Xenopus tropicalis: one gene and its partners. The protein of the gene in region 2 binds, or shares a complex with, the protein of the main gene of each other region. Links are inferred from orthologs where the notes say so. Each region holds a gene or a part of one and is shown on either strand. Other genes may lie near its edges.

The links.
Region 1: the proteins of strip1 (region 2) and strn3 are in contact, whole or in part, in a cryo-EM structure (PDB 7K36), measured with the Homo sapiens proteins. The link is inferred for Xenopus tropicalis from reciprocal best matches to the Homo sapiens genes STRIP1 and STRN3. Residues at the interface, in NP_149079.2 of Homo sapiens: Arg441, Ile445, Tyr447, Leu449, Thr455, Val456, Val457, Gly458, Leu459, Arg491, Ser492, Pro493, Leu494, Ser495, Phe792, Leu793, Pro794, Val795, Asn797, Cys798, Leu799, Val802; in NP_001077362.1 of Homo sapiens: Thr64, Pro66, Gly67, Leu69, His70, Tyr71, Gln73, His74, Val88, Glu89, Ala91, Glu92, Ala95, Arg96, Phe99, Leu100, Glu103, Gly106, Gln107, Leu110, Asp113, Leu114.
Region 3: strip1 (region 2) and stk26 share a complex: the UniProt entries of both Homo sapiens proteins name them as parts of the core of STRIPAK complex. The link is inferred for Xenopus tropicalis from reciprocal best matches to the Homo sapiens genes STRIP1 and STK26.
Region 4: strip1 (region 2) and stk25 share a complex: the UniProt entries of both Homo sapiens proteins name them as parts of the core of STRIPAK complex. The link is inferred for Xenopus tropicalis from reciprocal best matches to the Homo sapiens genes STRIP1 and STK25.
Region 5: strip1 (region 2) and stk24 share a complex: the UniProt entries of both Homo sapiens proteins name them as parts of the core of STRIPAK complex. The link is inferred for Xenopus tropicalis from reciprocal best matches to the Homo sapiens genes STRIP1 and STK24.
Region 6: strip1 (region 2) and ppp2r1a share a complex: the UniProt entries of both Homo sapiens proteins name them as parts of the core of STRIPAK complex. The link is inferred for Xenopus tropicalis from reciprocal best matches to the Homo sapiens genes STRIP1 and PPP2R1A.
Region 7: the proteins of strip1 (region 2) and ppp2ca are in contact, whole or in part, in a cryo-EM structure (PDB 7K36), measured with the Homo sapiens proteins. The link is inferred for Xenopus tropicalis from reciprocal best matches to the Homo sapiens genes STRIP1 and PPP2CA. Residues at the interface, in NP_149079.2 of Homo sapiens: Gly421, Leu422, Pro426, Phe436, Lys443, Phe444, Pro460, Arg461, Pro462, Ile463, Glu465, Ser466, Thr469, Leu470, His473, Arg726, Lys730, Met733, Ser737, Tyr740, Gln741, His745, Arg746, Leu747, Asn748, Asp749, Trp751, Ala752, Tyr753; in NP_002706.1 of Homo sapiens: Thr40, Glu42, Ser43, Asn44, Ser171, Pro172, Ser173, Ile174, Asp175, Thr176, Asp178, His179, Arg181, Ala182, Leu183, Asp184, Arg185, Leu186, Gln187, Glu192, Gly193, Pro194, Gly208, Trp209, Gly210, Ile211, Tyr218, Ile224, Thr227, Phe228.

What each region holds. Positions count from the first base shown.
Region 1 is NC_030684.2:113,226,380-113,231,130, forward strand, and holds the start of strn3 (striatin-3), read right to left. Parts: upstream 3,086-4,751; 5' UTR 2,792-3,085; coding exon 2,573-2,791; intron 1-2,572. Other genes in the region: ap4s1 (AP-4 complex subunit sigma-1), read left to right, coding at 4,162-4,299. UniProt on the Homo sapiens protein: Calmodulin-binding scaffolding protein which is the center of the striatin-interacting phosphatase and kinase (STRIPAK) complexes.
Region 2 is NC_030678.2:72,084,901-72,089,473, reverse strand, and holds the start of strip1 (striatin-interacting protein 1), read right to left. Parts: upstream 3,216-4,573; 5' UTR 3,209-3,215; coding exon 3,083-3,208; intron 459-3,082; coding exon 389-458; intron 1-388. UniProt on the Homo sapiens protein: Plays a role in the regulation of cell morphology and cytoskeletal organization. Required in the cortical actin filament dynamics and cell shape. Part of the striatin-interacting phosphatase and kinase (STRIPAK) complexes.
Region 3 is NC_030684.2:67,411,109-67,415,871, reverse strand, and holds the start of stk26 (serine/threonine-protein kinase 26), read right to left. Parts: upstream 3,124-4,763; 5' UTR 2,933-3,123; coding exon 2,891-2,932; intron 1-2,890. UniProt on the Homo sapiens protein: Serine/threonine-protein kinase that acts as a mediator of cell growth. Modulates apoptosis. In association with STK24 negatively regulates Golgi reorientation in polarized cell migration upon RHO activation.
Region 4 is NC_030681.2:125,808,102-125,811,442, reverse strand, and holds the end of stk25 (serine/threonine-protein kinase 25), read right to left. Parts: intron 3,335-3,341; coding exon 3,263-3,334; intron 2,681-3,262; coding exon 2,550-2,680; intron 1,098-2,549; exon of another isoform or gene 1,012-1,097; intron 850-1,011; coding exon 831-849; 3' UTR 655-830; downstream 1-654. UniProt on the Homo sapiens protein: Oxidant stress-activated serine/threonine kinase that may play a role in the response to environmental stress.
Region 5 is NC_030678.2:121,371,220-121,375,793, forward strand, and holds the start of stk24 (serine/threonine-protein kinase 24), read left to right. Parts: upstream 1-1,608; 5' UTR 1,609-1,734; coding exon 1,735-1,776; intron 1,777-4,574. UniProt on the Homo sapiens protein: Serine/threonine-protein kinase that acts on both serine and threonine residues and promotes apoptosis in response to stress stimuli and caspase activation.
Region 6 is NC_030683.2:120,831,091-120,835,085, reverse strand, and holds part of ppp2r1a (serine/threonine-protein phosphatase 2A 65 kDa regulatory subunit A alpha isoform), read left to right. Parts: intron 1-1,184; coding exon 1,185-1,285; intron 1,286-2,402; coding exon 2,403-2,635; intron 2,636-3,685; coding exon 3,686-3,833; intron 3,834-3,995. UniProt on the Homo sapiens protein: The PR65 subunit of protein phosphatase 2A serves as a scaffolding molecule to coordinate the assembly of the catalytic subunit and a variable regulatory B subunit.
Region 7 is NC_030679.2:26,547,272-26,551,266, reverse strand, and holds part of ppp2ca (serine/threonine-protein phosphatase 2A catalytic subunit alpha isoform), read right to left. Parts: intron 2,226-3,995; coding exon 2,016-2,225; intron 639-2,015; coding exon 465-638; intron 1-464. UniProt on the Homo sapiens protein: Catalytic subunit of protein phosphatase 2A (PP2A), a serine/threonine phosphatase involved in the regulation of a wide variety of enzymes, signal transduction pathways, and cellular events.

The DNA of each region.
Region 1 (4,751 bases), on a different chromosome or scaffold from region 2:
ACCTGCCTTACATAGATGAAAGCCATTGCAACCTGGCAATTTGTTGCTATGCGGGAAGTACTTGTGCAACTACATTTGCCCAGTGTTAAATTGGACGCCAGAAGTTACAGCACTAAACAAATGTGTATGCAGTGTTTATAATACAGGTAACACTTGTCAATTGCAATCAAAAAGTGCAGAAATATATTGAAACCTAGCATTTTTTTAAAAAGATTTCTGAATAACCATTTTCACCTTATCAACTGTCTATCAGGAAAATGAAAGCCCAAATGACTAGTAAGTGTAAAATGGGCCTAACAGCACAAACTTTTTAGACCTTTCTTACTAACAGAGTTAAATTTGGGAAAGAACTGGTGAATGAAAAGGTTTGTACAAGTTGAGTAGCTGAAAGCCTCCTGGGTTTCCAGCAGCTGTTGGGTCTTCTCTCTCTATTGTGACTGCCCTGGATAAGGTTATAGCATATGGTGTCATAAAGGCTAAGTGTAACACACTGCTGCTGATTCCCAGCACATGGACACCCTGTTGGACACTTACACTTTACTGCCAAATGGGAAGGATCATAACTGTTTCTTTGAGTTTTACAGAAGTTTAGATACAAAGTAACTAGTAATCTGATTGCAATGGCAGCATGGAAGTCAGGACTAGAATTGCTAACGGCTTGATCAGAAGCGCCGCCTTTTGCTAATGTATCTTTGTAACATCCAAAGGAACTCAAATAGCAGCAATATTCTGCACAAAGGGAACACAAAGTCATACAAACTGGGCAAATGCCGAGCGAAACACAACTAATCAATACTAGCCAAAGTCAGAGAACCTCAGAGCCTTGTGAGCAAGGCAGATACATCACCTGCTTATAGAAGGTTGCAGTTCTAGATTTATAAAAATTCTCCCAATTCTCCTAAATGTGACACTGGCTACATGTAGAGCCTGCCAACCCTCACCATGTGCCTTGCTTTCTAGGGATATAGAAATAGAACTAATCAGTATTAACAAAGACAAACATGCCATATTACAATAGAACCCCTGATTTTATGTACCTGGATTTAACATTTTCCCATTATTGATAGTTTTTCAGTTTTCCCATACAAGCAAGTGGCGTCTTGTTCCCCCCCAGATTTTATACCATTTTGACACCATCCACTGGGACATGTAAAATCGGGGTTCCACTGTATCCTGATTAGGCTATTCATTGTCAGCCACTGAAAATTAAGCAACAATTAAGCTATTCTTGATTGATATAGTATCACAAACATCTTAGTGAATACCCCAGTTTCAGGACAGTTATTCACATACACACACAGTTAGCCAACATAATAAAAGGAGCACCACCACCAATCAATTCCAGCGTACTAGCACTGGGATAGAAACAAAAGCTCATACATGGCCTTCACAATTACACATACCTACCTAAGTCAGTAGTTAAAATGTGAATAGAGTTTTTATTCACTGCACTTAATTATAACATGTTTAATATAGGGTTTATAAAAGGTATGGGCAGAATAGACAAGAATGCATAGGATTAGATCAAACAATGTGTGGATTAAAGTAAAGTTGCACTTGAAAATAAAGGACGGGCATTTTCATTACCTGTGAATACAATAGGATCTTAGAACAGGATGGACCTGTGCAACCAATGGAACACTTTATAAGTTTAAAGACCTATGTAGAACAATCTGCCTGGCTCAGACTGGGCACTAGCCCACATATAGGCTATCCTCACTCACTGTGGTGTAGCTCTGCTACTTTGAGATTTGGGGAATAAGTCTAATACAGCTTACAATCCTATCTGTCACCCTGCAAGCCCACTGGGGTCAGCATGACCTGGGCAGCTGAAGTGAGGCAAATGAATGCCTGCAGACAAGATCACTAGGTGCCGGCCCTGGGAATGACAGGAGCAACAGGGCAGTCACTTGGCCCAGTCATTACAGTCCAGTTACCCACTGTCACTGCTCTGTCCTGAGCTGGAGAGGAGAGACAGGCCTTCCCCAGGGGGAGGCTGCTAATGGGAGCAGAATGTCGGCCACGTAGGCCCCTATATAGATAAAAAGAAAGGTTCCATGGCATTGCAAGAAGGTTGGGCTCTCAATATGTGGGAGGGTTGTCCCACCTGGGCCCTATGAACGCTGCAGAACTACAATTCCCAGCAACCCCTGGTCAGTGGTGGGTGGGACGCTAAAACCCAGCTAGAGGGCAACAGATTGCCCCCCTGATCTGTATAGGGACAATATCTGACAACTGTTACACACTTGCAATTCTTCCCCACAAGGGAGCCATGAGATACTGGGGGTCCAGAGCAAATGCCCTCTCTGCCCTACCCTAAAAGCGAGCCTGCCAAAATGGCGACCTGAAAGTAACCGAGCAAGGCCCCGCTTCCTGTCACTGCATTCCCCCTGGGCACCTGTGCCGGACTCCCCGCAGCTCATACACAGCCGGAGTGTGCCGGGGGTGCGGGGAGATGTAGTTCAGCTGGGAATGAGGAAAGGCCAGAGACGGGTGCGAGTCTGTAGGGGGCGCCACACTGCCATCCCGGTGGGGCCCCCCGTCTCTCCCTATTGTTCCCCGGACCCCTCACCTGCAGCTCGGCCTTCTCCACCTCCCAGTGCGCTCTCTCCATCTCGAAGCGGGCCCACTCGTGTTGGATGTAGTGCAGGATCCCGGGGATAGTGTACTGAGGGGGGCGGCTGGCTAGCTCACAGCCAGGCTCAGATGGGGCTCCCTGGGACTGGGCCGGACCCACGGCCTGCAACCTCGGAGACGCGGCCATTCCTCCGGCCGCCGGGAGATCCTCCATCCCGCCGCTACCAACCCTCTCGCAAGGACTCCGCTACAAGTGACGCGTCCCGTTAGGGGGCAAATAGCTCCCCGGTGCCAGTCAGGAGAGAAGCAGTGAGATGGAGCGGCCGGTAACTCTCGCCCCCCCGGAGGGGAGCCCGCCGCCGTCCCGTCTATAAGTTGCGCACAAGCGCACTCCTGATATTGCCCATTTGTTATCTGTCACTTCCCCCCCGGGGTCCGGTAAGCTCCGCGGGGCACTCTGGGAAACACCGGCCTCACACACCGCCTCCCGCTGACAGCGTCAAGGCGCATGCGCGGGCCTAGCGGACTGACGTCACAAAGGCAATATGCGTCACGTGATCCCCGCCCCGCCCAGAGGGCTAGTAGTGACGTAGTTCCGCATGGAATGGTGACAGCCGAATGCTACCGGAAATCATTGTTGGTTAGCCGGCCGCTCCACTGATGGGATGCTCCCGCCTTGAACGGGTAACCGGCCGTCGCTTTCAGGTTTCGTTGAGTGGCTGAGAGATTTTATTCGCCGGCCCCTGGAGCCGTGATCTAAATAGAAACGTGTTTTATCAGCCTGAGGAGGGTTTAGCAAATGGGGAGCCAATTAGATTCACTGTGCACACACTACATACAGTATGCATACAGTAGCAATGGCCACCTCGTATCTACAGTGAATTCAGTAAGCAGCTTCTGCCTATCCTTGCCTGTGCCATTGTTCTCTCCCATAGCCTGCAGCCCGCTATTCCCTAGGCTCCATGTGAGTTTCATGCCAGTATAAATACGTTGCAATAGTATGACTTGAGGCTTGGGATACCGGCAGCTTGTTGGTGCTGGCCTGAGAGTGTTCAGACAGTAGGGACTAAAAAGTGGTAAAGGGATGGGGCAGAAAGAATGCCCTTAGTCTCCTCACTGGCCCTGCAGATAAATGTCAGTGTGGCCCTTGGTCACCATGGCCACTTCCCATTCACAGGCAGGGGGGCTCTTGAGTTCAGGTATTGTGGCTGGCCGGAGGTACCCCAGTCCAACACTGGTCTTATTTCTAAATATTCTCATTTAGAAATGTGGTCAGTAAGCTGCAAGTTGCAGCCAATCAGAAATCCCCCTATCTGTATCCCACCAGATCCCTGTAGTTTCAGGCTGATAATAAGTGAGCTCCTATTTCCACCTTACACCTTTATGCTGGTGTTTGGTACATTTCAGTTCAAGATAGTGCTAAATCCTCTTGCTCCATCAACAAGCAAGGACCTTAAACCATGACACAAGAGACACCCTTTGTTGCCGCTATAAGCATCTATAGCCTGCATTGTACATTAGGACATCTAACCTGATGTTTTATATACATCCTTTCCAGCTCTGGATAGCAGCTCGTCTGTAGAGATGATCAAGTTCTTCCTCATTGTGAACAAGCAGGGACAGACCAGGTTGTCAAGATACTATGAACGCATGGAAGTCCAGAGACGGACACTGCTGGAATCTGACGTCATCAAATTGTGTCTGTCACGTTCCAAGGATCAGGTGAATACTGCGTTATGGAGGTTGTAGGATAGTGACAATCCCTGCCTCCTTACCTCCCCTTTTATCTGTTTAGATGGAGCCTACCCTTATTTTCCCTTATGCACACACTCTGGGTAGATGTTGATATTGCCTTATGGAGTGAGGCAAAATATCAGGCCTAGCCCAAAGGTATGTAATCAACACACACTGTTTGTTTACATTTTTAGCTGGATGGGGCCCAGGCTGCTTTATTGTTAATACCCCTGTGTAAATATTACCATTGTGCCTCTTTGCTACTCCTTGGCAGTTAATGGCAGATTTTACTTTATACATTTATTAAGACCCTCACAATTGGAGCAATAGCAATGATCAACCCCAGTAAAACTTCTCTTGATCTTTTAATCTTTGGATTTTCTTATGTTCTCTCTCCTAGTAGAGAAATAATACTTCTTATCCTAATTCTTCTCTTCCCA
Region 2 (4,573 bases):
ACAAGAATACATGCAGCATGCACAATTGAAAGTTCCCTATGACATAACTGGTGACTTGTAATTACTGTGTAAGACATAGGCTAAAAAGGCTCTTCAATTCTTTCATGTTATTTAATAAAAAAAGTGGTACTGAGAAAATACATTCATATACCAGCTGATAAAAGTTTACACAATGGTAGCAGTTTGTTTGTTTGTGAAGAATGCATCAGCCAAAAGCAAGCAGCATTGCAGTTATATTTGTACTAATTTTTGCATATTGTGAGAGAACCAACTATGCACACTTATGTTGGAAAGTAGGAAAGTAAAAGGATGGTAAAAAAAATTATAAGTTGAGTAATATTTTTATTGTACTTAGTGTAGATGACCAAGATGAAGCCCTACAATTTACCTGAAAGTTCTGCTGCCCACTTGTCAGAATCAGCATATATAAACTCTAGGTCCGGAGACTCCGAATAGCCCTAAAATGAACAGAAGTGCCATAAAAAAATAAACAAAAAAAGAAACCCAGTGCAACAATTTTAAATTTATTTTATCATTCAAGTTGGCAACAAACAGCTAAAACACTTTATGGCATATTTATGTTTTCTGTCTGCACACATAAAAATAATTACAAAAGGCATGTAAATAGTATCACCAACAAATGGTCATCTTTGATGTATACTGTAGAACAATAAATCATCAACATGAAGACTGCGGTCTTGGAAATATGATAGTTCACAGGAGAGACTGGGAGATGGACCAGTCAAATTGTTCTATCATTATCAGATTGTTAGATTATACCCAAACAGTCAAACTAACAACAATTTTCAGACCTTCCCTTTAAATCAAATAACTAATATCTGTGGTAAGAGGATGTCTTATCTGATCATTCTTTGGACACAAAAGCCCAGAAAGTCATAAAAAAAAACCTTTTATCCAAAAACATTGGAAGGCTAACGGCTCTGGCACACGGGGAGATTAGTCACCCGCGACAAATCTCCCTGTTCGCGGGCGACTAATCTCCCAGAAATGCCATCCCACCGGCAAAAATGTAAAAAAAATGTGAGTTTCCTCTCAAGGCAACTTCCGCGATTTCAGTGAAAGCGCGCCGCCGCTTATGCCATCCCACCGGCGATTTACATTTTCAGGGAGATTTGTTGCGGGCGACTAATCTCCCCGTGTGCCAGAGCCCTAAGGGTGAAGACACACAAGGCGATTAGTCGGCATAAGTCTTTAAAAAGTCGCTGCGATTTCTCTACGCAGCGAAAACCTGTGTGCTATTAGTCGCAGCAACATATACAGGATCCTTTGAAGGGAAAGTCGCTGCGACCATTCGCCCTAATGGCACATGGAATGTTTTTTTTCCCCATTGCTGTAGATACACCAGCAGAGAAAAGCTGATCTGCTGCCTTCTGCCCCCTCTGTGTGCACTTCTAGGCAAGGGATATACCTGTTCACTCACAGAGAGCAAATACAAATACCTATTATTGCATTTCCACGCTGAATTATGTGTGGACAGCTTTCAATGCACTTGCAACTAGTCACAGAATATGACTGCACTCTTGGAAAGAAAAAAAAAATTATAACTTCGAAAGATATCAATTCTTTCTCATAAGACTGATGCAAACAAAACCATATTTCTTAGTAGTCTGGGAGATTTAAATGTAATCAGTTTTGAGACCTAACTTTATTCATAGATGTTCAGACACTGTACGTGTTACACCTTTTTTCCTCAAAGGCTAATTTGCTTAGGTAATATTTTCAGTAGCTCTTTTACTTAACAGGGAAAACAATGAAACTGAAAGTGATTTCATTTTGCAACCTGGTTCTTTAGAGTAACCGTGGAATAGGGTCACATTATAGCATAACACATTACGAGAGCAATTGTAAACCCCAGGTGATGAAGCAGTAAACACAGACCAATAAAAAAAAAAAAATCTCACTAGTAAAAGCAAGGCCATGCTAGGAGATCTTTTGCTCATTGAAATATTTTCATGAGTACCCAGGGCCCTCTACCCTCAGACTAACTTTCAGGCATTTTCTGTGAAACCATGTGACAGAGTGGTACATTTTTATACTATTTTCTTAAGTCTGAATCATGTTTACAGCCCAAAGAATTCTCTCCTCAGTTACTTTTACAATATGCACAGCTGCTCCCAAATACCATTTGTTTGTTCCACCCTGAGAAAGGTGCAAGTGGTGAAATCTTAGCTTTGCATTAAATTCAACTTTTTGAATAATACATGGGCATGATATTTCCAGGAACACTTTAGGGCTCATTTACGTCCACGAGTGCAATAGTGGTCCCCAGTTTCCCCCCAACCAGCTGCACCTAGCACCACTTTTATGTTCTCCTTCCTACCTTCCGTTCCAAATTGAGAGCTGCTGCACCAGGGGAAGCCTGGAGCTGCCACACACTTGCTGCACCTAAAGAATCAGGTACAGACCAAACAGTAGAACTGACGCCAGCTGGATTTTGGCGCAATTGCATCCAATTTTGGGTACACAGTTGCAAATCAGATACAACTGCAATAGACAGAGCAATTGTGCCAGGCGTATCACTCCACTGAGAACCACAATGACTCAAATTCTGGGGGAAAAAGCAACATTTTTTCAAAAACCTGCAGCAATTACGCTCAAAACTGCACTTTTCTCACTACATTTGCAGAGGTACATGTGCCTTTCTGTCACAGCATCTTCCTGCAGAACAGGAATATAATGTGTGATTCTAAATGAAATGCTCAACTTTCAGGATGACGGAGATTTAATTAAATATTTTTGATAACTATAGGTTATATTAACATGACAGCAACCACGAAGAACTATAATATATATTTTTGGTGAACAGTAAAACTAAGACAAGTCAGCAGTTTAGAATAGTTCGCAAAACTGATGTGAGATTCCTTTTGGAATGGGCTTTTTAATCAGGTAAGAACTGTCTTGTCTTCCTGTCACAGGTTCCCCAGACATACCCCGGTCACTAAGTAAGCATAAAAGCTGGCACACAGTTACATTACAAGGGTAATTCGAGGATAACTGAGTACTAATCAAACACAAATGTTAATGCAATATAGTTATACATAACAACCACTTTTACTCATACCTCTGAATCCTTGCGCTGTGTACGGTTGTACTCTCGTCCCTTGCCCGGTTGGGGGCTGCCAATTACCGCACCACCGATTCCTGTTCTCATTTTGTTGTTGACAATCAGAGAACCGGAAGCCTCCATCTTTCTCAGGCGACGCCCACGTGACGTGACACCGCCGTCTCAGTAGAACATTTGCGGTGGAACGCAAAGCCCAAGGCGTGTCTGTTTCTGCTTTCCAAACATCGCGATAGTATGAAGAGTCTCGCCCTTTCTTTGACAAACTGGGCGGCTTATAGAGACTGATGTATCGGCACCAGTGTGATAATCAGTGTTTTGTATATTCCTGTCTACATAACATGTATTTTATTGCTGAGACCTGCATTTATCTATATATCTAACCATGTATTCTCTGCAGTTACAGCGATGTTTGAAAGCCGGCTACCCTTAAAGGAAACGTTAACTCTAAATACATTCATGTAAAATTGGGCTTCTTGCCACTTTTATTAGGTATTCATAGATTTTAAGCTGGTAAACGTTTTTACACAGCTAATGCGTCTAAATTGAAATAATAGCACCATCTGCTGGTCAGTTCTATCAACCAAACTACAGTCAGAAAATTTCAGTAGAAGAAACTCTTGTAACGTTGTCAGAGTGCTTATACAATTGAGCAAAAGGAAGTGTCCAGATCTAGGGTATGAGCGCTGCAAATTGTGCACCTGATGTTTCTAAAAAGTAAAATTGTAAAATGAGGCAACACACATTAGCTATCCATAGATAAGTGAAATGCACAATTTACATTTTTAAGTTATCTAAATGGCCCCTGATAATGGGCAATCATTATTGGAGTACACGTACATCAGCAGTCAGGTGTCCTGAGATGAAAAGGCATGATTCCAGGTTCTTAAAAGGGATGGGGCTTGTGGATGAGTGGGCAAGGTTTTGTTGGAGTTTTGTCTTAAATTAAGCTTAGAGACAGGTTAGAACACACTGTATAGGAGGGGCAATTTTTGTTTCGTTGAGGCCCTATTTTACTTGAGACAGGGCTTACCATTCAGGGGGCCTAGGTGTCCATCAGACTATTAATTGGGACCCCCTGGTGAAGGTGGAGATCCCTGCTAATTTAGTAGGATGGGGCCATAGAACATACACCCTAGTTTGTAATTACAGTGATGAGAAAAAGTATTTGCTGCTCCATTGTTTTACCTGGTACTGCATATTTGCAAAGCGAGTTGTTTCCGAGTTTAAATGTAATATTACACAAGGGAAACTGAGCAAACACAAAGAACAGATTATATATATATATATATATATATATACACACTTAGGGCCGCTTGAGAAATCATGAAGCCCCCCACAACAAAATTTTCTGGGCCCCCCTCTTCTCATGTGCCCGCCCCCAGTGACCCCTCCCATCAGTACAAAGGACACACATACATTGTTAGCATTGCTGGCCAGGGCCCCCTAAAACATTGATTTACAAGTACATTAGAGGGGATTATAGGCAGA
Region 3 (4,763 bases), on a different chromosome or scaffold from region 2:
AGGTGAACCACCCCTTTAATGTGGTATTAAGAAAGTGTGTTACCAGGGCAGTGAAACCAAGACTACACAAAGTTGTTGTAGCTGGAAAATATTATGCAGACAGTGCTAGTTATTTTTAATGAATTAGTCACTAAGAAAATCCATATTTATTCATGTATATATGAAGATATCAATATCAATGAAAATAAATATATTTTCAGTGTTTTGTATTTTATTCTCAGTGTTATACACAAGCCTGATTTATCATTGTGTACATTCCCCTAACACCACTAACCAAGGAGCAATCAGGCACACCTATATATCTGTATAAATGCCAACATATTTTATAAAGTTTCACAAGTTTCACTTGTTGTTGAGGAATGAAACGGTAGAAAACTTCAACATGGAATTGTGGGACAATAAATAACTAACAAGTATTCTGATTTAATTATAGGCACAGGTCTCGAGAACAGGTCAAGTATAAAGAAAGTTAACAAGTGCACATACATTAGATACCTGAATGGGTCTATTCAGATAGATCCACACATGACCTGCATTTTTCCCCACTCTGACAAGCTACCAAACCCACAACCCTGTCTGCTACCTGCTGCCCACTCTAAAACACAGAAGCCATGTAATCAAAAAATCAAAGGTTGCATCATCAGAAAATACAGAAGGCTGGAGAGAAGCTATTTTGAAAGAAGCTGAGCAAGTTGCCATACACAACCCAAACCCCAATGTACCTACATAATTTGAACCAGCAGGACTCTTAACATACTTAACACAGAAAGGCCTTCACGTTATTGTGAATTAGTTATAAATAAAACAGAGATTAAAACAACAGAGATATATTGGGCCCCTAAACTTCCCAAAATATATGCATGTGGTAGAGTAAGCCCCACTTGTGCAAGGACAAATTAAAATGATAAACAGGATCTCAAAAGAATGCACAACATGTTTATGCTATATAAAGAATAATATTACTAAAGATCATTAAGTTTATGTAAACTATTAACCTCACTTTAAACTTTGGTTAAGGGCCAAAAGCTTCTTGATGCCCATGCTTTTTTAAAGCGTATATTTTAATTCCAAATATACAAACATGGCACCTAACTCAAGATTCTGTACTTAAATTGTCTTCATTACAATATTGTTCTTGGAAGTAATGTAAAATGCATATAAGAACATTGCTTGAACACACCTGTAAACCTAACAGCAATTCCAACATTGATGTATGAAGTGGGTACTATGAGTAACATGTTTATCCTCAGTAAAAGGGGTTGAGAACTTGATAATGGATCAGTTCAAGCTCATCACTGCAAAATATTAAATTTAGAATACTGACAATGATAAAAGATGACAATACAACTTAGGGTCATACATTTCGTACTGCTAAAGTGCCACACCACAAGCACCAAGAAGCCCACTGAGTGACTGTATAACTGGTTTATTTACACTCAGGGGTATAGATTTTGGAGTGTTTGGTGGGATGACCTGTGTGCCACATAGATTGGGCTTTTCTCTTTTTTGTTAGTACAGTATACATTAATAAATATAGCATTTATTGCATACAAGCAATACTGGCATACCCATAGTATTTAGTCAAGTGCCTTAGATGTCTTACATTACAGAATGAGGAAGACACCCTGACCATATTGATAAATGCATTCTGGCCAAGCCATGGATATGATACAGGTATAGGACCCGTTATCCAGAATGCTCAGACCAAGGGTATTCTGGATAAGGGGTCTTTCCGTAATTTGGATCTCCATACCTTAAGTCTACTAAAAAGTCAATAAAACATTAAACTCAATAGGATTGTTTTGCATCCAATAAGGATTATTTATTTCTTAGTTGGAATCAATTACAAGGTACTATTTTATTACTACAGAAAAAAAGGAAATCAGTTCTAAAATTCTGCATTATTTGATTAAAATGGAGTCTATGGGAGACGTGCTTTCTGTAATTTGAAGCTTTCTGAATAATGGGTTTCCGGATAAGGGATCCCATACCTGTACTTTTAAACGCGGGTAAGAACTAGCACTCAAAGCAAACACATTTCATAAATGATGCTGGGCAACTTGCGGGCAGCATATAACAGCCCTGGTTTAGCATAGGTGTGTTACTGTACAGTAATATTTACAGTATTGTGTATAAGCTCTCAGTGTATGCCCGTTTCAGACAGTGTCTAGACCCATGCAAACAGGAGTGAACTGATGACGTCTGTGCTTGGCTTGGGGTTCTTCTATCGTCTCTTTGAAATGTCAGTTCCATATACAGGTGCAAAACACAATCTATTCAGCAGATTTGCCTGAATCTGACACAGGGGTTGAGCGGTCAATGTTAGTCGCAAGGGTCACACAGGCGACATCCCTGATCTTATCTAATGACGTAGCAGGCGAGTTCCATGTATTAGTAAAGTGCAGAATTTCTGGGACGGTGTGGGAACCTTTACTCGGCTGGCCAATAACTACAGCAATCCAAGGTAGCAGACATTACCTCTTTGTATGTGTCAGGATGTAGAAAAGCCAAGCCGGCCCATACTATAGACACAGAACCTACCCTGGTCTAAGGTTCGATTCTTTATGGTACTGGCACTCAGCCTCTCAGTTCCGGATATACAGTGCCAATGTTATACACACAGCCCCCGACTGTGCCTAAGCTTCAAGTTCAGATTCTCCCAGCCCTAGCCCTTCTACTTGTGCCTAGGCTATAACTACAGGTATTGCCAACCCCTTGAGAACTGGCAGTGCCCAGGCTTTCCTAAAGATCCTGCTTAGGTACGACTTAGGTATCGTAAGATCCTGCGGGAAAGACTTTGCCCCATAGAAACGGGCAAGAGGTTTGCCGGCTAATAAAGCCACAGAGAAATCTCATTCGCAGCTCTAGTATGCTCTGCGTGGCAGCTCACCTGCATCCCTGGGACTTGCACGGCTACCGGGGAGTGAGCCATGGCGGGCGGCGTCAAGGCCTCCTACTCCGACTTGGCGGTGGGGTGCGAGCGGGGATTGCTGCTGCCCGCTGCTGCTCAAACACTGCTCTGGCTATCCGTGGCTATCCGTCTGCAGCCTGACACTGTGACCATTTCTCGGTGAAGGTCCAAGTACTGAAAGCCTGGGTAGAAGCTCAGCAAGCTCGGGGCGCCATATTGGGAGAGGACTGAAGGCTGCAGCTGAAGCCACGCAGGGTGGAGCCGCAGTCTGACTGAAGCCGGTCACGTGGGGTTGTGGTGATGTCAGGCGGCCCCGCCCCAAGCGATCATTGAGCGCTAGTATGTGAAAAGGTGACTAGGAAGATGTCATGCTACCTGGGCAGGGCTGGGAAGCTTTGCATAACGAGGCAAATCCGTCGCAGACTTTCCATTTTGTTATGTCAGTCATGCAGGGTGACTCTTACAATATCTCTGTCTGACTGAATCTGCTTTAATTTGGTATTGAACTGATTCTTCCAGAACCCTCAATGCCTCAATGGGGCTCTGCTCCTATACTAGGACTAAACTATCCTACTTAATAGGTGACCTTGGCTCTTCTCAAAGTAGGATAAATAGCCGTGCTTGTGAGAAAGTGTTCTGTAGGCTACAGCCTCCTAATATTACAAAGTTTTACTTTCTCATTATGAAGAAAGGTGGCGCGAATGTGTTATAGAAGACTCCACTTTTTACAATAACTGTTCTAAAAAGTGCAGAATTACTCTAGGTATCACACTTTTACAGTTATTGAATAAGAAGACTTAAGTAAAGCTTGTGGAGCATGTTCTGTAGAGGCTTAAAGGAGAAGGAAAGTCATTTTGGCATTTTACTGCCAACAGATTCACCACATTAGTGCCACCTAGAACACTATATTTATTCTGCAGAAAGCATTACCATACCTGAGTAATCAGCCCTAGAAGCTCCCTCTGTTTTCTTATGATTGCAGCTAATATACAGTTATCTGTTTACCAGCTAAAAATATACTAGAAGATCAATCTAATTTTTGGGCCACAATATATTCAGTATGTCAACAAATTCCCCTAGTGGCATGTTACTGCTGTAAAGACTGGCACAAACATTTTGCTACATTCTGTTCACATTTGCTTTTCCTTCCTGCATATTTTACACTACTGCTTTACTTGAATAGCCTCTTCATGTGTGATGGTGGTGGGACCCCTACCCATGATATCAGTCTGGATGTACACACTAAATACCAACTAACAAAGATTATAGAGATAGTAGAGAAAAGGGTTATGAGGAATGAGCCACTACATAATAGTACCATTGAAGCATGAAAGGTTTTTTTGTGTGTCTCTCTGTATACAGAAGTATGTTGTAGTTGACAAATGTCCAGCATCTGTGTTTAGTTGTGTTGTGTTGAATACCCCAACATACTGTTCTTCGACTTTGGCTTATTCTTCCGCTTCTTCTTGTTATTCTTAGCGCCCCCCCCATTTTCTAAACGCTACTCCTCCTACAGTTTTAGGGGTACAACACCCAAACTCGCTACACATCTGCGCCCTATAGCGGAGCAGGTTGCTTGTGCTTTTCTAAGCAATCCCGCCCCCCGTCTTTATGTGGCGCCGCTCCAATTTTTCCATTGACTTTGACAGGGAAGATTTTCAAACTGCTGCCGCACTTATAGCTTTGAAGCTATACCCCCCAAACTTGAATAACATAATCATGGGGTCACCCTGAATGAAACAGCAACATTTGTTGGATGATCCAAAGTGGGAGGGGCCAACAACAGCCAATCAAATTTCAACAGCCAATCAAATGGGGAAATTGAAACTGCTGCCAATCTTACAGCTTTGAG
Region 4 (3,341 bases), on a different chromosome or scaffold from region 2:
TAGGGAGAGTTTCACATTTAGTTATTGTTAAAGGAGAACTAAAGCTTAACAAAGAAGAAGGGTAGAAATGTTGAACATTATGCTTTGTGCTTCTCTACCAGATCCGTGCCCCCAAAGATGCCCCAGTAGCTCCCCATCTTCTGTTCTGCCGATTCCCTGCATATGCTCTGTGCTGCTGGCACTTACCTGAGCTTAGGGACCCACTTACAATATATATATATACACACAATATAAAAGTCACAATACAAGGCTTATTAATAAATTCAGATTCTCATTACATGAGAGCACAGAAACCAGTGTATTTTGCATCAAAATGTAATAATCCGCTTCTATGACATGTGATGATTTGCAACAGCCCCTAAGCTGAGCTTCTCTGCAGCTGCCCAGAGCCCACTGAGCATGAGTGTTACTGACAATTCTAACAAAATCCAAGATGGTGAACCCCCTGTGCGCAACTTTGAAGACTCAAAACTCAATACTACTATAGAGATTCTGAAACTTCAAGCTGGTTTAGTACATTTAGTCTACAAAAATCCAGTACTTCTACCCACATTTGTTTTTAGGCTTCAGTTCTCTAAATTATTTGTATTTCAGCTAATTCAAAGTGGTCACTTTATAATTAAGGAAACTAGAAAAAATCATGTCTCCCAAAAAATCTGTATGAAATGTCAGTTTATTTGTATATAACACTGGCTCATGAGAAATCTTTTCAGAAAAATAATGAATAAATTCTTTCATATGTTATGGCATGATTTGTCTGATCATTCACAGTACAGCCCCATGGTGCCATGGGAAATGCAGAGATGTATCTGTTGGCTGGGTGCATGAATTCATGGTGCGGTGGAGAACCTATAAAACAAGAGAATGGACAAAGAACTCAAAAAACTGCACTGATGGAACATGAAATATTCAAACGACTGCAAAACCAAAATCACAGATGTGGCTACTAAACAGAAAGTGTAAATTCTGAACTAATAGTAGAAGAGGGTTCCTAGTGAACTTACTCCCTACCTTTTGCATTTGGTAAAAGAAACCTGCATTATACGACGGCAGCAACTCTTCTGTGTTCTCTAAAGTGTCAGGGCTGTTACTTTTGTCTTGTGCATACATGAAAAAGTGAAAGAAAAGGGGAGGTTTAGATGAGCACAAAAAGTCTCCAAATGATGTAGAAAAGATAGAGATCAATTTATTAGGTGCAAATTCATTACAATTTATTCTCCACTATAAATAGAATATTAACAACATGTGCATATGTAAAGGGGGGGAGACATGTAAAACATGCAGTAGTCACAGGGCCATATCCTATATACTGGAACTTTAATATTTGACTAAATGGTACTTTTAGGGGGGGTCCCCCTTAATTTTTAATGCAGAATAATTTGCAATGAAACTGCACTTAATAAACTGAATAACCCTTTTCTCCATAATGGGGAGAATGTAGTGTGCTTATATAAACTTCTACTTTTCTTTCAGCTTTTCGTGAAGTTTTCATTAGTTGGAGCACCTTCCTAGGATTTGGGATCTGCCTGTGGCAGTTGTCAGTGCTATTGTCTCTTGTGCATATCCTGTAGATGGTGCTGTGTTCGTATAGCTATAACCCCAGTCTGTCAGAGATCAGCACCACCCTCTGGCAGCAGCCAAGAGCCTCTGATACTTTGTAATGTAATGACAGCTTTGTTGTGTCTTTATTATGCAGTTACTTTTTTTCGGCAGCTCCACAGTAGGGAATTATATCTATACCTGCCCTTACCCCTTCTCCATAGTTAAGCTTTGATGAACAGGAAGACATATCTGAGTATCAGTCAGTTATATACTGTAGTACCCTATTAACGAAGAGGAGGTGTTCCCTTGCTAAGGCTAATGCCCGACGGGAAGATTAGTCGCCCACAATAAATGTCTGCTGCCGCAGGCGACTAATCTCACCGAAAAGCCCTTCCACTGGCAATAAAGGGAATTGCTGCTGAAAAGGCCTATGCATCACTTCGTTTTTGTGAAGTCATGTTGAGTTTCCTACTGCAGGCAACTTTGCACAACTTTGGAAAAAAAATCAATGTTTATGCCTTTCCTCCAGCAATTCCCTTTATTGCTGGTGGAAGGGATTTTTGGGGAGATTAGTTCTCACGGGCAACACATTTTCCCGTGGGACGTTAGGATTATTCTTCGTGGAAGCCCCAGTGTTGGACTGGCCCACCAGGATACCAGGAAAACTCTCGGTGGGCCCAGGGGTCTGTGGGCCCTGTTGTTTCTAACCATTTGGCCTTTTTTTTTGGCATTTACTTCATGGTCATTCCCTATTTCTGAATGGTAACAAAGAGGAGAAATAGATGACAGAATAGATGCTATCATGTAAATAAAAGAGACTTGGAGAATAAAGTGGTTGAGTGAGGAAAGGAGGAAAAACAGTTTGGAGCATGGGCCCATGGTATAAGGTTTTCTGGTGGGCCCCTGGGGTCCCAGTCCCGACACTGGGAAGCCCCAACCGGTGGAGAGCAGCATGGTACAGGATAGAATGGTTCCTAGGCAGTACTGAGCAGAAGGAAGATTGTTACCTCTGCACTCGCTGCACCAGGTGAGAGATCAGCTGATCTGTGATTCCAGGGCTCGACTCCTCGGCCAGGCTAAAGGCATTTTCCAGCTCCTGCACTGAACCAAATGCTCCAGCACTGCGCTGTTCCCTTAGCTGGTGGGCAAAGAACAGAAACAGACTGCTGCTCTATTACAGACCTTTAAACACTCATCTTTTACATCTGAAAAATGTGTACAGAGTTGCTGAGTTAAGGGGGCCATACATGGGCAGATTTAAGCTTGAAAAACTATTTGCATGTACTTTTTATAAATGACTGGAACACACAAAACTCCCGGTGCAGGTAGCCATGCTGTGACACACGCGTGCACATAATGAGTGCCACAACTCGATCATTATGCGCATGGCACGGGTATGATGTAGCAGGGCGAGTTAAATCCACCGCTTTCTATGTCAGGCACATGCGAGCAAGCATAGATTCGCTCATTATGCACGTGTGTGCCAAACAATATGGCCATTCCCACCGGAAGCTCCCTCCTGATGCAGGCGGCCTAGTACTGGCAGGGGGTATTTTTTTAAAAATACTCTAACCGGAGTGCGGGCTCTATTACTCTGCATCTCTGGTGGGGGAAATAATGTTGGGGTGATGGATGCCCTTTAACCAACCTATCCCCCTTCCACCTCTCCCCACAAATCTAAACTGTGAAAACACAAAAAATATATTAAAAAAGTAGTCACCTCTTGGAAAACTGGTGTTACTAAGGCTGATAGACAGTGTGACCGTGGCAGGCGATGAATGACTTCTGCTGACTGCAGA
Region 5 (4,574 bases), about 49 Mb from region 2:
CTGTATTCCCTCACTTGTACTGAGAGCTATCTCCCATAACCCTGTATTCCCTCACTTGCTAAGAATCCATCCAGCCCCTTCTTAAAGCTATATAATGTATCAGCCAGTACAACTGATTCGGGGAGGGAATTCCAGAACTTCACAGCTCTCACAGTAAAAAATCCTTTCCAAATATTTAAATGGAACCTCCCTTCTTCTAAACGGAGTGGGTGCCCTTGTGTCCGTTGGAAGGACCTACTGGTAAATAAAGCATTAGAAAGGTTATTATATGATCCCCTTATATATTTATACATAGTTATCATGTCACCTCTTAAGCGCCTCTTCTCCAGTGTAAACAGACCCAACTTGGCCAGTCTTTCTTCATAACTGAGACTTTCCATACCCTTTACCAGCTTAGTTGCCCTTCTCTGGACCCTCTCTAACTCAACAATGTCCCGTTTGAGCACTGGAGACCAAAACTGAACAGCATATTCTAGATGGGGCCTTACCAGCGCTCTGTAAAGGGGAAGAATAACCCCCTCCTCCCGTGAATCTATACCCCTTTTAATACAGCTCAAAACCTTGTTTGCCCTTGCAGCTGCTGCCTGGCATTGCTTGCTACAGCCAAGTTTATTATCTACAAGGACTCCAAGGCCCTTCCCATTATGGATTTGCCTAGTGCAGTCCCATTAAGGGTATACAGGGCTTGCATATTTTTACATCCCAGGTGCATGACCTTACATTTATCCACATTAAATCTCATCTGCCACTTAGCTGCCCAGATTGCCAGTTGGTCAAGATCCTGCTGCAGGGATGTCACATCCTGGATAGAATTGACTGGTCTGCAGAGTTTTGTGTCATCTGCAAACACTGATACATTACTCATAATACCCTCCCCTAAGTCATTTATGAACAAATTAAACAAAAGTGGACCCAGTACAGAACCCTGAGGGACCCCACTGAGAACCTTACTCCAAGTAGAGAATGTACCATTAACAACCACCCTCTGTACCCGATCCTGTAGCCAGTTTTCTATCAATGTACAAACAACATTACTAAGACCAATAGACCTTAGCTTAGAAAGCAGTCGTTTGTGGGGAACGGTAAAGTGGAGGCAAGTTTGTGCTGCACTTGCTGGTTTTCCCCTTCTGATACCTGTAGCCTTGTCAGTACTAATACAGGGGTATATTGTGCCTGATTACTCTCCCACACTAGATAGGCATGAACTAAACGCACCCTAAGTGCAGTAGCGCCTCCTGCTATACAGGCACCCAGGGGTGGCAGCTGTGTCTCACCCAGGGGCAGGGGGAAAGCTCCCAAGGGAGAGAAGCAGATGAGTCCGATTAAAGTGACATGCCATTGCCCTGGCGAGAGTGAGGGCGCAGGAGGAGCTGTGTGAGGGGAAGAGACAGGAGGAGGAGGAGGAGGGTAGATGGGTGGTTATTGCTCTTCTTGTTTCCTGCTCTAGTTTTCTGTACGAGAGAGGAAACCGTGGTGACATCGCCTTGTATCTACTGCAGCCTCAAACTTGCTTCTCCCCATTTCGTGTGATCATTGGCCTCAGCCGCCGCCGGAAATCCTCCTCTCCAGCACAATAATAAAGCCAATCTCTTCCTGCTCCCCAGCTCTGCCCCCGGCTGCTCCTCCTCCTCCTGGGCCCGGACTCGTAGGCAGAGGGAAGCCCGGGGGACCGGGGAACACTCCTCGGTATCGCAGTGGATGTAAGGGCCGGGGTTGTGCTGCCGGCACATCAGTATGAGTCACTCCCCGGTGCAGCCCGGCCTGCCTGGGATACAGGTGAGCTCTGCCGCGTCCTACCTTCGCCTTTAGCTTGGCTTTCGACCCCTTCTGGTATATATTAGTCTGTCTGCGGCCCTTCAGCAGTTGAACTACAACTCCCAGAAACTTGGCTTGCATAGAATGCTGGGGAATGGAGGCTGGATAGTGTGAGTAGTTAGTACAGCTGCTGGGGGGCCGCAGGTTGGACATCTGAGTGCAGGTATTGATGCTCCAGGCTACAGATCAGGCTAGAAATCAAGGCATTTGGGACCTTATTCCATTGAGTCTGCATATTGAGGTGCATGGTTTGCCCGGAAACCTTTAACTCATCATACGGGAAACATTACTGTTATTGGCCACAGTCCTAGCACATCTGTGGGAGCAAATACGAGTTCACCTTGCTGCCCCCCCCAAAATGATCTTCAGCTGGCATTTATTGTGGGAGTTTTAATCAGATTAATCAGATCAGCCCATTTTAGTGGCTAAATCCATTTATACATCTGGTTCATTTATATGTAATTGCTCATAGTGACATGTGTAATGGTGCTGGGTGTCCCTTACACTGTGACTTTCTGTTACACACCTACATTGCTTTCCCATCTACTACAGCTGTGTTGAGTAAAGAATCCAGATCCAATAATTCTTTACACACTGAGTAAAGCAACTGACATAAACATAAAACTGTGACATAAACATGCTTTTTGTTTATTAACAATGGAAACTTTTTAGGCCTGTGCCACTGTTTGACATTTCTGTAAGTAAAGTGCTGGTGTGGCTAAGGGGAATGGGGAACAGTGACTAAGTATGTGAGAGGCCGCAATTAAGTTTAATTTTTATTCTTAAATTGAATTTTTGTTTCTATAGCTCCCCAACTTGCCAGTTAAACCACTACTTTGACAGTGACCATGTGCTCAATATCAGTTTTCTAGTTTGAAAGGGTTACTAAATCTCAATTTAAAATTGACAGGTTAAATAAAATAAATGTAGTGTATAAATAATATTAATAATAATAATAAGGAATAAGAGTCTCCGAAAAGTAGTTTAGATTCTATCTGCCTGTAACATAATCCTTAGGTTAAAGGCCTTGGACTTCTTAGATTAAGTTGCTTTATAAAGCCCTGCATGAGATAAGCTCTTATTAGTGCCTAACAGGATAAGAAATACATATTGGCATCTATTTAGAGGTGCTTTCTGCATTATGTTTTCCCATAACCCTTTTCTGCTGTTTGTCACCATTTGCCTTGAAATAAACTCAAGCAGCTTTGTAAAACGACTGTCCCATATTGATGGGTAGCAGTGCAGTTACATACTAAGGTCCAGATCAAATTGTAAAATGTTGTTCTTTTACAAAGGGGTCTGTGTTGCTCTTGTGACTTAGGGCCATAAAAATCAATTTGAAGACATCATGCAGCCAACTGATTAACTTCTAGGGTGGGGACGCTTTTCTGCACCTCTGTCCCACATAGGAAGAGATACCTTGTACATTACTCGCACTCATTACTGCAGTAGAAAAACTGGTCATTGAAACCAACTAGTTTTACAGGTCCCTGGCCTTTGTGCTGCAGTGCAACTTGTACCTCACTGATTACAGCTCATTTACAATTTTGGCAGATTATCTACAGTGTGATTCATTCACAAGCATTTTGGGTGTATTCTTGTCCATTGTAATTTGCCACTTTGATTTTTACCATCCCCTTAGGGTGTGGCACTTTACCAGCCGTACTTCTGGTGGCATCTTTGTCAGCCTAAATGTTTGTTATGGTAGAATTTTAACTGGTCAGACAATGCTTTTATTAGCATTGTATATAGCTCTTAGTCTCCCCGCCCCACCAAGAGAGAACTGTTCCCGGCTCACAGTAGTTCAGGGGGCTCAAATGGTAATCAACCATGTCCATGTAAGCATGTCCAAAATACATGCACTTTTGACTGGGTTTACTGAGAACAGGCACTGGAACAACTGCAGAATGCTGACCAGAGCTTCACCTTAATATGGGGTTATAGGGCTGTCATGGAACGTTTCCAATCTAGAAACATGCATTCCCATAAACAGCATGACTACATTGCAGGACTCTTTAATTTACTCATTCTTTATTCATAGAGCTCCAGCATTTTCCTCTGAACACTTGCTTATTTGCCAACAGGAAATAATCATAGTAAAATATAGTGAAGCGTTGCTGCCTGGTTTGTTTATTTTCCTTTGGTTTGTAATGCAAGGCACCTTCTTAGACTTGCAAACTAGATCCTGTAAAACTTATGCCTGTGGCCTCTTTGGTCAAGCTGGTGGTCATAAAAACAATCATGTAGAGCAGTGATCCCCAACCAGTGGTTCATGAGCAACATGTTGCTCACCAAACCCTTGGATGTTGCTCTCAGTGGCCTCAAAGCAGGTGCTTATTTTTGGATTTCTGGTTAGGAGGCAAGTTTGATTGCATAAAAACCCAATGTAATTGCCAAACAGAGCCTTCTATAGGCTTCCATTCAACATAGGGGCTATTAAGTAGCCAATTATAGCTCTTATTGGCACCTTCAGGAACTTTTTTCATGCTTGTGTTGCTCCCCAACACTTTTATCATTTGAATGTGGCTCACGGGTATAAAAGGTTGGGGATCCCTGATGTAGAGTAAGTTGAAAAGGCCTGTAAGGCCTTCTGTTATAGTGAACTTTGTGCGTGTGTTTTTTAAATATACTGTATATCTACTAGTACCATAGGCCTTTAAAGGAAAACTATACCCCCAAAATGAATACTTAACCAACAGATAATTTATATTATGTTGTGACCTATTAAATAATTTTGCCAAACTGGAATATATATCCGT
Region 6 (3,995 bases), on a different chromosome or scaffold from region 2:
CATACGCTGAGGATTTGCTGGACTGAATAGAGAAACCTGTTTCACAAAGTTAAAAGAAAAGCTGTGGTATGAAATAAGGAATACTTCCTGTATTGCTAAATTCAGTTTTTGCTGGGCAGCAACCAGACAGAACAGCAAGAGCGCTTCTCTTACACATGCATTATATTAGCAGTGCACAATTGCAGGTATGGGACCTGTTATCCAGAATGCTGGGGACCTGGGGCTTTCCGAATAAAGGATCTTTCCGTAGTTTGGATCTCCTAAAGTCTCCTAGTCTGCTAAAAATCATTGCAGTATTGAATAAACCCAATAAGATTGTTTTTGCCTCCAATAAGGATTAATTATATCTTATTGGGATCAAGTACAGGTGCTGTTTTATTATTACAGAGAAAAGGGAATAATTTAACCATTAAATAAACCCAATAGGACTGTTCTGCCCCCAATAAGGGGTAATTATATCTTAGTTGGGATCAAGTACAGGTACTGTTTTATTATTACAGAGAAAAGGGAATAATTTAACCATTAAATAAACCCAATAGGACTGTTCTGCCCCCAATAAGGGGTAATTATATCTTAGTTGGGATCAAGTACAGGTACTGTTTTATTATTACAGAGAAAAGGGAATCATTTAACCATTAAATAAACCCAATAGGGCTGTTCTGCCCCAATAAGGGGTAATTATATCTTAGTTGGGATCAAGTACAGGTACTGTTTTATTATTACAGAGAAAAGGGAATCATTTAACCATGAAATAAACCCAATAGGGCTGTTCTGCCCCAATAAGGGGTAATTATATCTTTGTTGGGATCAAGTACAGGTACTGTTTTATTATTACAGAGAAAAGGGAATCATTTAACCATGAAATAAACCCAATAGGGCTGTTCTGCCCCAATAAGGGGTAATTATATCTTTGTTGGGATCAAGTACAGGTAATGTTTTATTATTACAGAGAAAAGGGAAACCATTTTGAAAAAGTAGAATTATTTGGTTATAATGGAGTCTATGGGAGACAGCCTTTCTGTAATTCGTAACTTTCTGGATAGCGGGTTTCCGTATAAAGGATCCCATACCTGTACTAATATAATGAAAACAAAAAAAAAAAAAGAAAATAACGGCAAAAATGCTCAGAAGTGTTGGTATATGTCTCCTTTAATCCTCATGATTGACCTTCCATTTTTTTTTAGACACCATATATGATGAAGATGAAGTTCTTCTTGCTTTGGCTGAGCAGCTGGGGACCTTTACTTCACTGGTGGGGGGACCAGAATTTGTACACTGCTTGCTGGTGAGTATTTATTAGACTCCAATACAAATAGACTCTTCCCCAGTAATTATATAATTAGAATATTATAATTCTGTTTAAAGTGGCTGTTTGTGTTCATAATAATGTTTTCAAAAAGTATAAAATATATTTACTCCAGTAATTGAAAATAGGGGCAACTTGCTTTTTATTTATTTTTTGACCATTTTCTGTCCGAGTGTTTACGTTTTAAAAATCTTAGCAAGCCAAGTTGTTGGCTGTCTAAACTGAGGGGCTACCTACACACATAACAAGATTATAAATATAGGAAACTATAGGCATATCAACCATTCAGCTAAAGCTTTAAAGGAGAAGGAAAGTAATTTTGGCATTTTACTGCCAATAGATTTGCCACATTAGTGCCACCTAGAGCGCTATATTTATTCTGTAGAAACCGTTACCATACTTGAGTAAACAGCTTTAGACACTTTCTCCATTTGCTTAAGATAGCAGCTGCCCTTTTAAGTAGCTTCCTGCCTGCAGTCTAGCTGTTATAGCTGAGATCACACATTCCTGAGGGAGTTCTTATCATTCTGGTGGGAGGGGGAGCAGGAGAGAACTCTGGTCACCTTAATTAAGGCTGTTTCTGAGAGAGGAAGTCAGACAGTGGAACATCATTTTTACCAAAAAAAAGAGACCAGAAATCCTGTGTTTCTTTTGATAGAGGACTCAGTGCAGTGTTTCTGTGAGTGCTTATGGCTGTATTTACATAGTCCTTACTGATAAAGCTTACTGAGTATTTACCTTTTCTTCTCTTTTAAGAATAAGGAAATATGTTTTACTGTTTTTACTCTAATATACCTTCAGGCTGGTCTTTTCGCTGTATTTAGGTGAGCAAATGGGCAAATCTCACGTTAATTAGTATGGAGACTATTTCCCTCCCCCTTGGGGTCCAGCCTGGGAACCACTGATTTAGATGGTTGGGGACCTGATTTAGATGGTTGGAACAAAAAAACTATTTGTTTTTTAACTTTAAAAAGGTTTTGCAAAGGTACTGACCCTTTAAACATTTGATTAAAAAATTGGTGAACAGGAATAGCGCTGGATTTATCTACTGAGTTATCTATCATTTTCTAACCATCTCTCATTTTGCCTTGAAAAGCCGCCATTGGAGAGCCTGGCAACAGTCGAGGAGACCGTAGTAAGAGACAAAGCCGTTGAATCCCTCCGTGCCATTTCTCACGAGCATTCACCTTCTGACCTTGAAGCTCACTTTGTGCCACTGGTAAAGCGCCTGGCTAGTGGAGACTGGTTCACCTCCCGCACATCTGCCTGTGGCCTCTTCAGCGTTTGCTATCCACGTGTCTCCAGCACTGTAAAGGCCGAACTTAGACAGTGAGTACCACCAGATTGTGGCCTTACTTAAATATCATACAGTTATCCAATAAGCAGTGTCCTATACATGTATTATTATAATGCATAACATTACTAAACACATGACTAAAGACGATTATAACTATTATACTATATATCTCCCTGCTCTCTACAATGGGTAATATTTACCCATACACAAATGTATCGCACATTCTTTCTCATTGTAGTGAGGGTGAGGTTCTACTACTGAGTACTCCAGCAGCCAAAGGGTTATACCCCTTTTTATGGCCTGCTGGGACATTCTCCTTTCACCCTCATTACCTTATGTATGAGGTGGGACCAAATCATTAATGACCCCCTGTGGTTGTTGGTTTTAGGCCCATTTTCTGTAATATAATATTAGTACAGTGCCAGTACCCAATATTATAGTGAAAATAGGGGTATGCAGTGACCCATATGTGGGTGATAAGGATGATACCAAACATGAGGTGGTAATCCCTCCTAAATGGTGGGAATAAGCTGTCCCTGTTTGGTATCATTAGGAATTGTGTGACCGCCACACAACCAATATATATGATTTATGAGGAGGTGAACCCTATATATGAGGTGAAATGGATCCTTGTCTTTTTCCATAAATGCTCCCCCCTGCAGCCCTAGGTTCACAGCTCCTTCCTTTGATCCACAGTTCAAAAGAAGTGACTGGCTCAACTTCTTTGCCCAAATGGTGTCACTCCGAATTGTCTCCAAATTCAGATATGAATATCATGTTTGCATAGCCCTCCTGTGAAAGTGTCTAAAGGGACTCTTTGCAGACCTAATACCAAATGTTTCCAGTGTTAACCCTTTACAATGCCAGAGCAATACTACTCTGCAATGACCAATATTTTAGTGAAAGCTGACAAATATATTATTCATTATTGCTAACAAAATTAGGGGGAATAATGCGAGTACTATAATCTTTACCTACTATAATCTCTTCAGTCCTTTTAATGAAAACAGTTTTATTAAACGTTGCAATAAAACAGCACATTTTCATTATATAAAAAATGCGCACATTCTTTTTCTCTATAGGCACTTCCGAAACTTGTGCTCAGACGATACTCCCATGGTGAGAAGAGCCGCTGCTTCCAAGTTGGGGGAGTTTGCTAAAGTTTTGGAGTTGGAAAATGTGAAGAGTGAAATAATTCCCATGTTTTCCAACCTAGCATCTGATGAGCAGGTAAACTGATTGCAGGTCTTGCCACATATATTCTACGAGAATGTCCTGAATTAGAACATGTATATGTGTGTATATATATATATATAATATACATGCCGCCATTAAGCAAACTGAAAGCTTTTATTGCAGGTGAGGTTCTAACAATCGACTTCAAAATATCTA
Region 7 (3,995 bases), on a different chromosome or scaffold from region 2:
GCAGCTCTAACTGTAACAGGAAGTAGTGTGGGAGCAAAAGGCAGAACTTTGTTCATTAATTGGCTGATGTGGCCTAGCATGTACGTGTGCACCGTCAATCTTATGATCCCAGGGGGTGGCCCTTAACTCTTAAAATAGCTATTTCCTATTTAGGAGTACCCAATAGCACATACTACTAAAAAAGTATATTTTTATGAAAAAGGTTTATTTAGATGAAGCAGGGTTATATGAGCTGGTTTATGCAATATATTTTTAGAGAGACCTACATTGTTTGGGGGTATTGTTTTCCTTTAAGAGAATCCTTATTTCAAATGCCATTGGTGTGCACTGCACACAACAGACAAAATATGTTCATGTCAAGTCCTATTTATTGACACATTTATACATACACTGGGAAGTCACCCTCTTTTAATGTGGAGCTCTGCAATAAAAGTGTTTACTTAATATACACATTATACACATACCTGACCATCTACCAGTGCAGTCAGGGGGAGGTAGTCAAAAAGGTCAGTGAAATACTTCCAGACATTTGCATTTCCATATTTCCTTAAGCATTCATCATAAAATCCATATACTTGTGTGATTTGTCTACTTTCATGATTTCCTCGGAGGATTGTGATGCGTTCCCGATAGCGAACCTGAAAGGTATGAATAGGTTTTTGCAATAAAATGGAAACAGAGACTTCTATCATTTATTATACACAAGTACCCCCAGTACAAGTTATTTATAAACCCTAAATTCATAACCTCATATCAACATTGGCAATCTATCCAGCTAAGTGGCAGATAAGATTCAGTTGTTCATATCCCCCTGAAATAATGCTACATCCCGGATGAAACTAACTTGCATAATGCATACATTGCGTACAGCGCCCTCCCTCAAATTCATTAACGAACAAATTTGTTAAATGAACAAATTTAACAGTGGACCCATTACTAAACCCTGCAGGATCCCATTAAGAACCCTTCTCTAAGTAGAGAATGTACCATTGAAAACCAACAGACAGAAAATGTAATTCGAAAAACTTTGAAAATACAAATTAAATGCAAGATGTCTATGGTGTAAAAGTTGTAAATGTAATTGTTACAGAAAGCGATCTTACTATTCTCTGCCCTGCTGGTTTTGGCTTTTGAAACAATGTAGCAAAGCTAGTTCATTAACAGAAGCAGCATGCAAGGTTTACTTTCTGTACATTGTTTTAAGAGACAGAAACAACAGTGCAGCAAGTCGCAGAAAAATGCTGCTTTTGACAGCAAAAAACTACAAAAAAATATTTTTCTAAACCCCCTCCATTCTACAAATGAGCCTTCTGGCTTTACGGTACAAATGAATATTTAATAACAACTAGAAGAAATATTTATGGCTTTTTAAATAGAACAGACTGGATTATTTATAGCACTACAGCATCATAATGAAATACATATTTTTCATTTATCTATCTGCACATCATATAGGCTGCCCACTTTTTTTTAATGTTTATTGGTGTTACAATAACATGCTTATACATTAGGAGACTTTAAAAGCTTTTTGGATAATATTTGAATTGTATTCATATGTATCATTTTTTTCCCTTCAACATACGATGGCCTTCTATATATATTATATTAGCATTTTTTATTGCTTGTGCTTTTTCTGCTACAAGTTCTTGTTAGGGGACTCTTTAGAACAGTTTTATTTTATTGATACACTGATAGCGCTCTATATTTCGTCTTTTCTACTGTACGTGAATGGCTACTGTCAACTGATTTATCTGGTGTAGTAGGTATAAAAAAAACATTAATATACATACAGGACAGAAAAAAAACACATATCCTCAAGCTCTACTAAGCATTGCCCTATCAACTTGTTGCATAGATTACTGGTTGTTTTTTGTATGTAATCTGTATGTATGTATACACATTTATTGTACAGCACTGTGGCATATTTTGGCATTTTATTATAAGAATACCTTATAATATTGTATTGTTTCATTGATTGCCAGTGGAGCACCATTAATATAAATGAATTATCTTACCTTAAGTGCAACAAGCAGCGTTACAGTTTCAACAGAGTAATATCCTCTGTCAACATAGTCTCCCATAAACAAATAATTTGTATCTGGTGATTTGCCTCCAATTCTGAACAGTTCCATAAGATCGTGAAATTGTCCGTGTACATCTCCACATACTGTGACTGGGCACCGAACTTCCTGGACATTTGATTCTTTTGTTAAGATTTCTTTTGCCTGTAAAATAAACACATTTGCTGTTAACTGCTGTAAACGAGTCATTTGTGATATTAAATCGAGACCTTAATATGCCCTTACATGTGAAGATTTAAGCTGCCAATTCGACTACTTTAGACAGAGTTGGGTTTGAAATCTCCACTTGTTTTGTGCTTTTGGTAGAGGTATGGGACCAGTTATCCAGAATCCTTGGGACCTGGGGTTTTCTGGACAAGGGATATTTCAGTAATTTGGATCAGCATAGCTTAGTCTACCAAGAAATAATTTAAACATTAAATAAACCCAATAGGATTGTTGCGCCTACAGTAAGGTACTGTTTTTTAATTCATTAAAATGGAGTCTATGGGAGCCTTTCAGAAGACTTTCTGTATACAGTTATGTGTTCATATATTCAATGTTTGATTTTCCCATATCTCATATTTTGTGACAGAAGTGGAAAAAATTATAGCAGACTGATAAGTTTCCTGCAAAGTTTAAAGGGGAAGAGAAAAAAAAAAGTTCTAAAAATTGGTTGGTATTTAATGTAAATCAGTTGTAAAATGTTGGTTTCTCCACAAAGGGTCAAAGAGCTAAACACAGAAATTTTAAGGCAGGGACAGTTTTAGTCCTATACTGTAGGGAACTTGAAAATATCTGGGGGCACTGTCAACTGAACAGTAACCCACTGTAAGCAGTGATTAGCACTGATGGGTTCCCATGGGCTACTACCCAGATGCAAATTGCCCAGTGTTTCAGTTAATGACCCCAAAATCTCATTACTGAGGCTAATGGATATTCAACCTGAACCCCAAAGGATCAAGTATCAACTAGAATGCCAGTTTACTATCAAAAGCCAAAGTGGATTTTTTACATTTAGGAATTTGTCACACGGGACTAAGTAATTTACCTAATATCTTTATATGCTGCCTGGTATATATTAAGGCAAGTGGAATTCTCATTTTAGGCTAATGTCACGCAAGGCTCTAGTGCCATTCTCTGTAACCAACTTATACTGTGCATTACATTGTGAGTGATTGACTTATTCTGATCATCTTCATATTGGTGTTCATTAATTATTAGCCAGTCCAGTCTTAATGTTATTGCTTGTTTTTCTTTTTAGGTCCTCTATTATTCATTTTTTATTTTTATTTCAAAACTGATCCCACACAAGGGTATTTTTTAGAAAATAAGCTCTTTTAAACATGGCCCTCTCTCTTTCTTGCATTGCCTATTTGTTTGCTTTTGTATATTACTTTGTATGTTTAATGCATACACCCATTTATTGTACAGCACTGTTGAATACGTTGCTGCTTTATAAATTTGGCAAAGAAGTACCCCTGGGAGACAGAAGAAGATGGCGATATAATGAACCCTGGGCCTTTGCAAATTTCAGTGAACAGGAGCACCAATCAAGTAGGCAATTATACTCATTGGGAGCACCCCTTAGTGATTATACTGTTCCTTTTACATCTGCTGTTTGCATTAAAGGTTTGCTATTGTGATCTCTTTCATATTTCCCTTCCAGTCTGGTTCCAAACTAGAAAGCTACAAAACAGTTCAAAACAAAACCCAACTGCAAACTGTACAAATTATAAAATATATAAACAGTTAACTTGGAGGTGACTTGTCAGTTTATTTATAGCTGCTGCCAGTCTGAGAAGGCTGGAATCTTATGCAAGCAAAATTACTAGCACCATTAAATACTAAATTATACACACTCTAGACAGCACTAACAGGCTTACCCAGTTATTCATCATTAATTTGGCCTCTGCCCTTATGACGCTTTATCGT